2 separate regions of the Mus musculus genome follow, and region 2 is reported to be linked to region 1. Evidence: microRNA targets listed by miRTarBase, many of them from high-throughput screens and not tested one by one. Region 1 holds a microRNA gene; the other region holds the end of a gene's coding sequence.
Evidence for each region. The annotated mature microRNA mmu-miR-1901 reads CCGCUCGUACUCCCGGGGGUCC and lies in region 1 at 2,845-2,866, opposite strand. An mRNA with a match to its seed (bases 2 to 7 or 8) in the 3' UTR can be bound and repressed. Matches are read on the target gene's strand: a 7mer-m8 pairs with bases 2 to 8, a 7mer-A1 pairs with bases 2 to 7 and ends in A, and an 8mer does both.

Region 2: miRTarBase lists Nudt5 as a target of mmu-miR-1901. Seed matches in the 3' UTR shown: 7mer-A1 at 1,399-1,405.

The regions. Positions count from the first base shown.
Region 1 is chr18:11,837,527-11,841,876 of GRCm38, forward strand. Mir1901 (microRNA 1901) reads right to left here and starts at 2,912; the gene lies at 2,835-2,912. Cables1 (CDK5 and Abl enzyme substrate 1) reads left to right here and starts at 1,748. Exons shown (of 10, transcript NM_001146287.1): 1 at 1,748-3,007. The coding sequence starts at 2,280. Gm6277 (predicted gene 6277) reads right to left here and starts at 1,851. Exons shown (of 4, transcript NR_045421.1): 1 at 1,655-1,851.
Region 2 is chr2:5,867,264-5,871,613 of GRCm38, forward strand. It overlaps Nudt5 (nudix (nucleoside diphosphate linked moiety X)-type motif 5), which reads left to right. Exons shown (of 10, transcript NM_016918.3): 10 at 826-1,473. The coding sequence ends at 935. It overlaps Sec61a2 (Sec61, alpha subunit 2 (S. cerevisiae)), which reads right to left. Exons shown (of 12, transcript NM_021305.4): 12 at 3,714-4,350. Among named protein-coding and RNA genes, the nearest start is that of Gm13199, 6.5 kb to the left of the region's middle.

The sequences.
Region 1 (4,350 bases):
GATAGATTGGGATATTGTATGATAGGCCTGTAATCCTAGCTGTCTGAGAAGTGAGGCTGGAGGCTCATAAGTTCAAGGCTTGTCTATACTACAAAGTGAGTTCAGGGCCACTTGAGGCTATAGAGGCCTGGTCTCAAAATTTAAGAACAAGAGAGCTGGGGAGATAGCTCAATGATGGAGGATTGCCTAGGATACATACAACCCTGAGTCCTCAATACTACCCCCAAAAGGGAAAAAATTTTATAAACATACAAAATATATATTATATAACATGTCATATATTATAATAGTGCTTATCTATATTATAATATATTTCATATATATATTTTATAATACAAAGACTGTCACTGTTCTTTTCTTGATATTTCAAGATAGAAACAAAAATATTACCATAGATGATAAGATTGTTAGTGATTTCCCCCTCGTGTTTGTTGAAAACATCCTTTATTGGAGGGGTGTCATAAAATAGTATATATGTGTGTGTGTACTCTTTTACAGGAGCAGAATTGTAGTCTCACTTAACATTATTTTCAAAAAAATAAAACAAAAAGCTTGGCCAGCGATCAGGTAAATTACGTCAATTGTAATAAAGTGACTTGAAGTTTCAAAGTAGTTAAAGTATTTAAAACCTGATGAAATTCAGTTGGTCACTAGTGAGTCTGCTGCAGACAGGCCTCTGCTTTTTCATAAGGCCTAAATATGGCCCAAAATTAAATATAAACAATGGTTCATACAAACAGCCATGAGACCTGTTTATCCCTGTTCATGTAACCCAAACCCCGCCTATCTCCGACTCTGGGCTGGCTGCACATCTCCAAGCCGTGTATACTTGCTCTCAGCTACATAATTTACTCTGCTGAACTTGAAAAGGAGTGGAATTTCGATGTAGAATTACCCATTAGCTCCAAGGCTAAATTTAAACCTCTAATTAAATTAATCCGTTCATCTTAAACACTTTGCTTCTCCCTTAGAGAAGCCTTCTTCGTAAGGCTTCTTAGGTGTCGCAGAAATTCAGGACGACAATTGTGTCATACAGTATTTAATAAGTCGCCCAGGCCTTAGAGAACTCAGCAGGGGTCTTTGGAAAGTGGCTGGGTAGCCCCGCAGTTGCTCTTCCTAAAACCATTTGTTGGGGTTGTGGGGTGGGTCTTCCTAGACCCAGAGTCACGGTGTCCCTAGGCAGGAACCCATCTTTCTGGAACATAAAACCAGGGGCCAAACAGACGTTGACGAAACAAATGAGTCTATCAATCCCCGTTTATAGAGGAATAAAAGACTTGCAGACATTTGAGTGTAAGATTATTCTAACCTGCTCAGATCTTCACAGAAAATCCATTACATTTTCAGGGCAAATGCCGTCTGTCCTTTGCTAAGAGCACCAGTGGTGTGTATATTAATCAGCTGGGCCACTTAGAAGGTGCTCACACATCCAGGCAACTAGGTGGGCTCCTTTACATTTATATTGGCAGCCGCCCCCTGGGTCTGCGAAATAGTGGTGTCACATCCCAGTGATTAGCAACACTTTCGGTGGGGATGTCCACATAGGAAGGTGTATCTGTTAACAAGAACCGGTGTGTCCAGGCCCATGGGTAACACCAAATTTGGTTACTGGGTCGGGTGCAAAGGCTCCAGGTGATCGCCCCGTAACTCTTACCCGAGCACAAGCTTGGGCTGCGGCTCATCCGGCTCTACTGACACCCGCGGTTCTCCGCTCGAACGTACAGAGGTGACGTGCTCGCCTCCAGCACCTGGCTTCCGCGTGCCCCAGGAATAGCTGGAACCGTGGGGACCGGCCCGGTGAGCCCCCGCCCTGACACGCGCCGAGCTCTACTTCCCTCCTCCTTTTTCACCGCCTCCTGCGCGGTCGCCTCCCGCCGCTGCGGTCTCCGCCTGCGGCTTTGTTTTCCTCCCAGGTCTCATTCCCCACACGTGATACTGTGTTATTGCAAAGAGCGCTCCGGAGCGCGAGCGCGGGGCGCGCGCACTTATAAATACCGACCGGCCGGCCAGGAGCCCGTGATCGCGCGGCACGGAGGGTCGGCCAGGCGCGCGTGGGTCCGGGACGCGGAGGGCGAGCCAGGCGCGTGTGGCTCTCAGCGGCGCCCGAACGCCCAGGGCCGAGCATGGCCCGCCCGCGGGAGGGTAGGACCGCCTCGCACACCGCCCGCGCCCCGCGCCCTGCCCAGCCCGGGTCGCCGGGGCTCGCGGCCGCGGCTTAGCACTCGGCACCCGCCACTCGCTTCTCGGGTACCGGGGAACTGACGCCCCAGACGGACACAATGGCGGCGGCGACCGCCACCGCGGGCACGGCCGCCTGCAGCAGCAGCAGCAGCAGTCGCGGCGGCAGCACGGACGCCGCGGCCACCAGCGGGGTGCAGCCGCCGCCGCCTCCTCCGGCCACCGCGCCGCCGGAACCTCTTCGTAAGCCGCGCATGGACCCGCGGCGCCGCCAGGCTGCCCTGTCCTTCCTCACCAACATTTCTCTGGACGGACGGCCTCCGCTGCAGGACCACGAGTGGGGCGGCGGCGAGGAGGGCGGCGGGACCAAGCCCGGAGCAAGGGCTCGGCTCAGCCTGCTGGCCGCTGGCTGCAACGCGTTCTCGGCACCGGGCACCGCGGCCGCGCCGTGGACCGCCGGCTCGGGTTCCAGCCCTTGCCCGCTGCCGCCGTCTCTGGTCCCCCGGGTGTTGGGAGAGCCATCTCAGCCGCCCCGTTCAGCTCCAGCTGTCACCGGTGCTCAGCTGCAGTTGCCTGACGGGCCGGGAGGCGCCGGACAGGAGGAGCTGGAGGAGGACGATGCCTTCACCAACGTGCAGGTGCCATCGGCCAGCTTTTTGGGCTCCGGGACCCCCGGGAGTACGAGCGGCAGTCGGGGCCGCCTCAACTCGTTCACTCAGGGAATCCTGCCCATCGCCTTCTCCAGGCAGAACTCGCAGAACTACTGCGCCTTGGAGCAGTCAGGCCAGGGCGGCAGCACCAGCGCCTTGGAGCAGCTGCAGAGGTCCAGGTGAGTTTCATGGACACACGCACGCCTAGCTTTGCTGTGTCTGGACGACAGGAACCTCACTGAGGTCGCTCCCACCTTCCTGCTCCTGGCTAGATCCCGGGCTCCTGGACACAATCCCAAACCACTAGGGCATCTGGAAGGGGAAGAGGCCCAGGGAGTGTGCACGAACCCGGCACTAGCAGAGCGGCCGCACCATGCTCTTGCTTTGGCCAGGGAGTTGGGAGTTGGAAGAAGCGGTTAAAAAGCGGTGCGAGAGATCACCAGCTTCCTGAAAACCGGTCCAGACCCGGAGGCGCGTCCCCAGCTCCGGGCGAGCGGCCGCCGGGTGCAGTGGGTGGGGCCGGGGCAGGCGGCGCTCAGGAGACCCAACTAGTAACAGACACGTGGGAACCCCTCTGGAAAGTTTATGGAGCCCGGGAAATCATGTTTTCCTAAGAAATGGAAAGTTTTTTTTTGGCATTTCCTTGGTTCAGGCCTGGAGTGTGGGGACAGAGAGGAAATGTGGCCTACGACTTTTCCATTCCGAGAAAACTGGCCTGACACTCTTATTGTATGCTTGTGCGCGTTATCTGCAGGTTTGAATATCTTAGAAAAAACGCAAGATATGCTTATTGGAGAACTAGCTGGAGTTAAGTGCTATATGCTAAGACAGTGGTCTTGGTTCTGTGTGGGGTAGTGAGACTACCTACAGGCTGGGAAGAAGTCCAGGTGGGGCTCTTGCGGGCCTGTGGCGGGAGTCCTTCCTCATTAGTTAATAAAGCCTCCTGAGAAATTATAGCACTGACTACCTTAGTTAATTATCATTAAGTTAGGGAACCAAAACCTCTGTTTCCTCTAAAAGGATAGGGCCCGGCCTTTGTTCTGTGGGCATTAGGTGGGTAGGGGGACCGGCCTCTTGCCATTGCTTTCCCAGTGAAGGAGGTTTATGCTCCCTGTGGCCTGTTGGAAAACCTAACTTGTTTGGTTAATGAAATAACAGAAGGACCAACCGGCTTTACACCGGTTTGCTAGCTTCTCAGCGCATCAAATTAGACCCGAGCCACTGCAGAATGTTCTAGTCCAAGTGTGCATGGGCCTTGGGCAGGGGTGTGCAGTCTGGAGAAGCAGCCCCCTAACTGCACGGATGAGTTAGTGATACTGGGTACAACAATCCTGCTCTGGTGTTTCTTGTCACAGTATGCATCTCCCGTGGTGAATGGGCAGCCCTGGGCCAGCAGAACGGCCTTAACTTACCACATGCCCTGGAGACCAGCATAGGGTTATGATAGGCATTGTAATAAACTGGTGCTGTGCTAAGCCAGTGAGTCTCCTGGAGGGCCGATGCACTGGAAATAGGATGTCCT
Region 2 (4,350 bases), not on the chromosome of region 1:
ATTTTGAAATATCTAGTTGTTTGAAAAGTTAATACCTTTCAAAAAACTATGATTTCACATTCCTAGACAGCTTCGATTTCTCCACCTTTTCAAAAACTAGACCTGAGGTAAATTAATCTCAGTACTCAAAGCCAAATTAAATGTCAATTACTCAGAAAAGCTGTGGCAACCAATGTTAGGCAGTATAGCCAATGAATGATCTGATGGCCCTGACAGGGTTTGAGCTGTGTCACCATTATTCTTTATCAGCTTCTAGCCTCTCATTTTCCTAAATCAAGAGTAAATCCCTCTCTCTGAGGATGCATGAGAAGAATTAAACAGATAATATAGACAAAGTACCTTGTTTCCAGGTGCTTAAATAATATGTTTTATTTATAGAATATTCTTTTTAAAAATTCTTTCTCTATATCCACCTGACTTCCCCTCTGGTCTTCCAAGGGGATATTCAGAAAAAAGAACCACTTTACCTAACTTCAGTATACTCAAAACATACTAATCAATACTTCAATGTTAGTTTGTAACAGAGTGGCAGCCAACACTCCTGCCATTCATAGGTGGCTAGGACATGAACCCAGACTTAGAGAATCGTTCAGTTTTGAACTTTTTCCCAGTTGGCTAGGAAAGCAGGAGACACTGGGCCAGTGTGGCTGAGAACTGAGCCTGATTAGTCATCTGCTACGTTGCTACTTTTTATCCTTTACTCTAATTTTAAAGATAGTGTGTCCCCAGCACCTAGTCCTGGCAAGTGGCATACAGTGTGAACAGTGATTGACTACACTCCTCTCACTGTCTGCAGTCTCTAAACTGTCATCTTTGCTTCTTTAGCTTTGGGAGCAGAACAACACCTTACAGTGGATGCCAAGGTCTACGCCTACGGTCTGGCTCTGAAACACGCCAACTCGAAGCCATTCGAAGTGCCCTTCCTCAAATTTTAAGGCCAAGGAGGACACTGGCCATGATTTGTAAATGAAACCATGCGGCCTTCACTATTCAGTGTATTCAATTAAGTTCAATGTAGGTCATAAATCAGCTTTTTTCGTAAAAGCAGCACAGATGCATGTGGTATGGAATTATAATTACAGAGAGGATATAACCTTCATTTAAATTTGTTAAATACTCATGGAAATGAGTGTATAGTTAGGTATGTTTAAATTTATTAAACTCACCTGGTCTAGAAGGTGAGGGTACTTCTCAGGAATAGACTCAAGCTCCCAATTAGGTCAGCTATTTCTACCCATAATTCCTAAAATCATGTACTGAAGTCTGCAAATAGCTATTTATTAGGCTCACATTTAAAAATTAGGTTGGGTTTTTGTTGTCTTGTTTTAAGACAGGGTATCGCCATGTAGCCCTGGCTAGCCTGGAACTTCTTTTGCAGACCAGGCTGGCTTTGAACTCCGAGCGATTCATCTGTCTGTCTCTGCCTCTCCAAAGTTCTGGGAATAAAGATGTGTAGCACCACACATGGCAAGCAAAAGAAGACTTGGGGGTTTTTTTGTTGTTGTTGTTTTTCAAGAAAGAGTTTCTCTGTGTAACAGCCCTGGGGCTGTCTTGGAACTTAGTCTATAGACCAGGCTCAGCTTGTACTCCGAGATCTGCCTGCCTCTGCCTCCTGAGTGTTGGGATTAAAGGGCACACACCACCACACCCAGCAAAAATAAGAGTTTTAAAAGAGAGACCCCAGTAGGGACTTACCAGTTTCTCCTAATTCTAATTAATGTACTATATGGGATTCATTTGGGTAGTAGATGTAAAATCAATACAGCATAACATTTGTGGTCAAAGTGTAGCTACTTGTGGTACATGCTTATAATCCACCGTTGGAGGCTGAGGCAGGAGGATCATAAATGTAGCCAGTTTGGGTTACATTATGACACTCTATGTCTCAGAAATAATTTTTTTTTGAAGATTCATTTTTTATTATAGCTAAGTACACTGTAGCTGTTTTCAGACGCACCAGAAGAGGGCATCAGATCTCATTACAGGTAGTTGTGAGCCACCATGTGGTTTCTGGGATTTGAACTCCGGACCTTCGGAAGAACAGTTTGTTGGTACTCTTACCTGCTGAGCCATCTTTTCAGCCCTCAGAAATAATTTTTAAACTGTATTTAATATTCTCATAAGGCCACTTCATTCCTAAAAGTGTACCAAGATAATGCTTCAATAGTGAACATAGTTAATTCTTAATTTTTTTTTTTTTTTTTTTTTTTGGTTTTTCGAGACATGGTTTCTCTGTATAGTCCTGGCTGTCCTGGAAACTCACTTTGTAGACCAGGCTGGCCTCGAACTCAGAAATCCGCCTGCCTCTGCCTCCCGGAGTGCTGGGATTAAAGGCGTGCGCCACCATGCCCCGCTAATTCTTAATATATTAAAAATATATGAAAACTCGGGATCCTTCCTTCAAGTGTGCACACACTTCAGTTTCCTAACCTTACCTCCGAAAATATTGTTTTACAAAACTAAACCCATAGGAAAAAGATTAACATGGATTCTACATATATATGGATGTCAGTAGCCATGAGTATAGGCAGGTATATTAGCCAATTATCTGAAACAATCAGACTACACAAGAAATGCAGAAATGGTTTCTAGTATATGCTAGGCCTAAAGTTCACCCAGGAGTTGTTCCAGTGTTCTGGCTCTGCTCTGGTCTGATGAGCTCTGCTACTGTGATTACCTCAGCTGATTACATCAGCTCAAGAAAGGTCAGTTCAGCCACCAGCAGCAGTCGGCATGATGCTTGTTGGCCAGCTCAACACGTTTGCAACCTAGGTCCAGGGTAGATCCTGGGAACCTTATAAAAGCGCTTTTCCCAGGTACAGTAGGTATAGACGCTAAGTGTTATTGCCGACACACATTTTTATGCACAAAAATGTAAGCTCTTTATACAAATCTTTATACTGGACTTCTTAAGGATGGAAATAATTCTGGAACTTTGTAGTCCAAGTCTGCATTCCTAATGAGTGTGAAAATTAACACCCAGTATAGCACAGTAGCCTTCCCTGTGACTCTGACCCTTCCAATGTTTTCTTTTGTGTTTATAATCATGGCCCTGTCTCCCCAAATATACCAACTTTTGCCTGTAAGTTCCCTAGGACATCTATTTCACTGTGTCGTTTCCTTCCCTCTTTTGAAATGAAGACACAGGCTCCACACATTCGTCCTTTCCATAGAGCAGGTATAGGACCAGGTGCAATAAAAAAAAATGGCCTTGAGTATCGGCCGAGATACAAGGTGTACCCCATCTTCCCTGGCCCCTGGGTCTCTTTCCTGTGGGAGTGTAACTGAGAAGTGACAGCTACATCTTAGACGTGTCAGTAGCACATTTCATTACCAGGGTCTGTACCTCAGAGGTAGAGCCAGATCTGGAGCTGGCCATCTGGTGTCTTCACTCCTCACAACTTTTTTTCGTTCATTTGGAAAACTCAGAAAGTGGGTTCTAAAATACAGGGTGTTCTCCAGTGTCTGACCTTAGCTCAAGCTAAGTTAGCCCTACCTCCTGTTCCTACTGAAAACTGTACTTTTGAAAATAAGTAAAATAAAGTATGTACAAAGAACTGGGTGGTGTCAAATGAAGAGTAAAATGTTTCCCAAGGACCCTAGCTCCTGCCATTGAGTAATTTAGAACTAAAATATGACCATACTTGACCCTCTCAAGCATATGCAGATCTGCTCTGTAGAAATACAGTGAACCTACAGAAATACTCTTAGAGAACACTTAATAGGAATCTCTTTATTTTTCATCACAACTGCAACAGTTTTCTTAAATAAAGTTTATTGTCTACTGTTTACACTTGGGTCCTGCTATGCATATCACAGACATGAAGTCCTTGCATGAATACTCATTGCTCACTTCCACTCAACTACAGACACTGCTTGAGAACTGGGTCTTGCTTTGGGGACGAGGGGAGAGAGGAAATACTTGGGGGCATTGGAGTAGAAGGCATGGCCAATACAGCTGGACAGCACTCGTAGCTGTCACCAGGAAAAGAGGACAAATGAAAAGCAGAAAAGGGAATTGGAAGCAATTGTGTCCAGTGACAGAAATAACTTCAATGCTTGATTTTTGCCCATCCAGGCTGAGTGGCAGTTTGGGGATAGGATGAATCAAGTAGGGGTGGGGCTGATGAGTTAAAAAAGTATAAAAATTATCTAAAATATACATTAGATATAAATGCTCCATAACTCATTAGGGAAGCTCAAAATACTGGAAAGTGGCAATCTGCACTGCACTTATTTTTAAACAAGGGAATATTCAGTGTTCTGAATGTTGTGTGCGAAGCTAATCCACATCACTGTCTTGCTGTCTGACCAACAGCGAGGCAGATACACTGCTTCCCAGCGTCATGG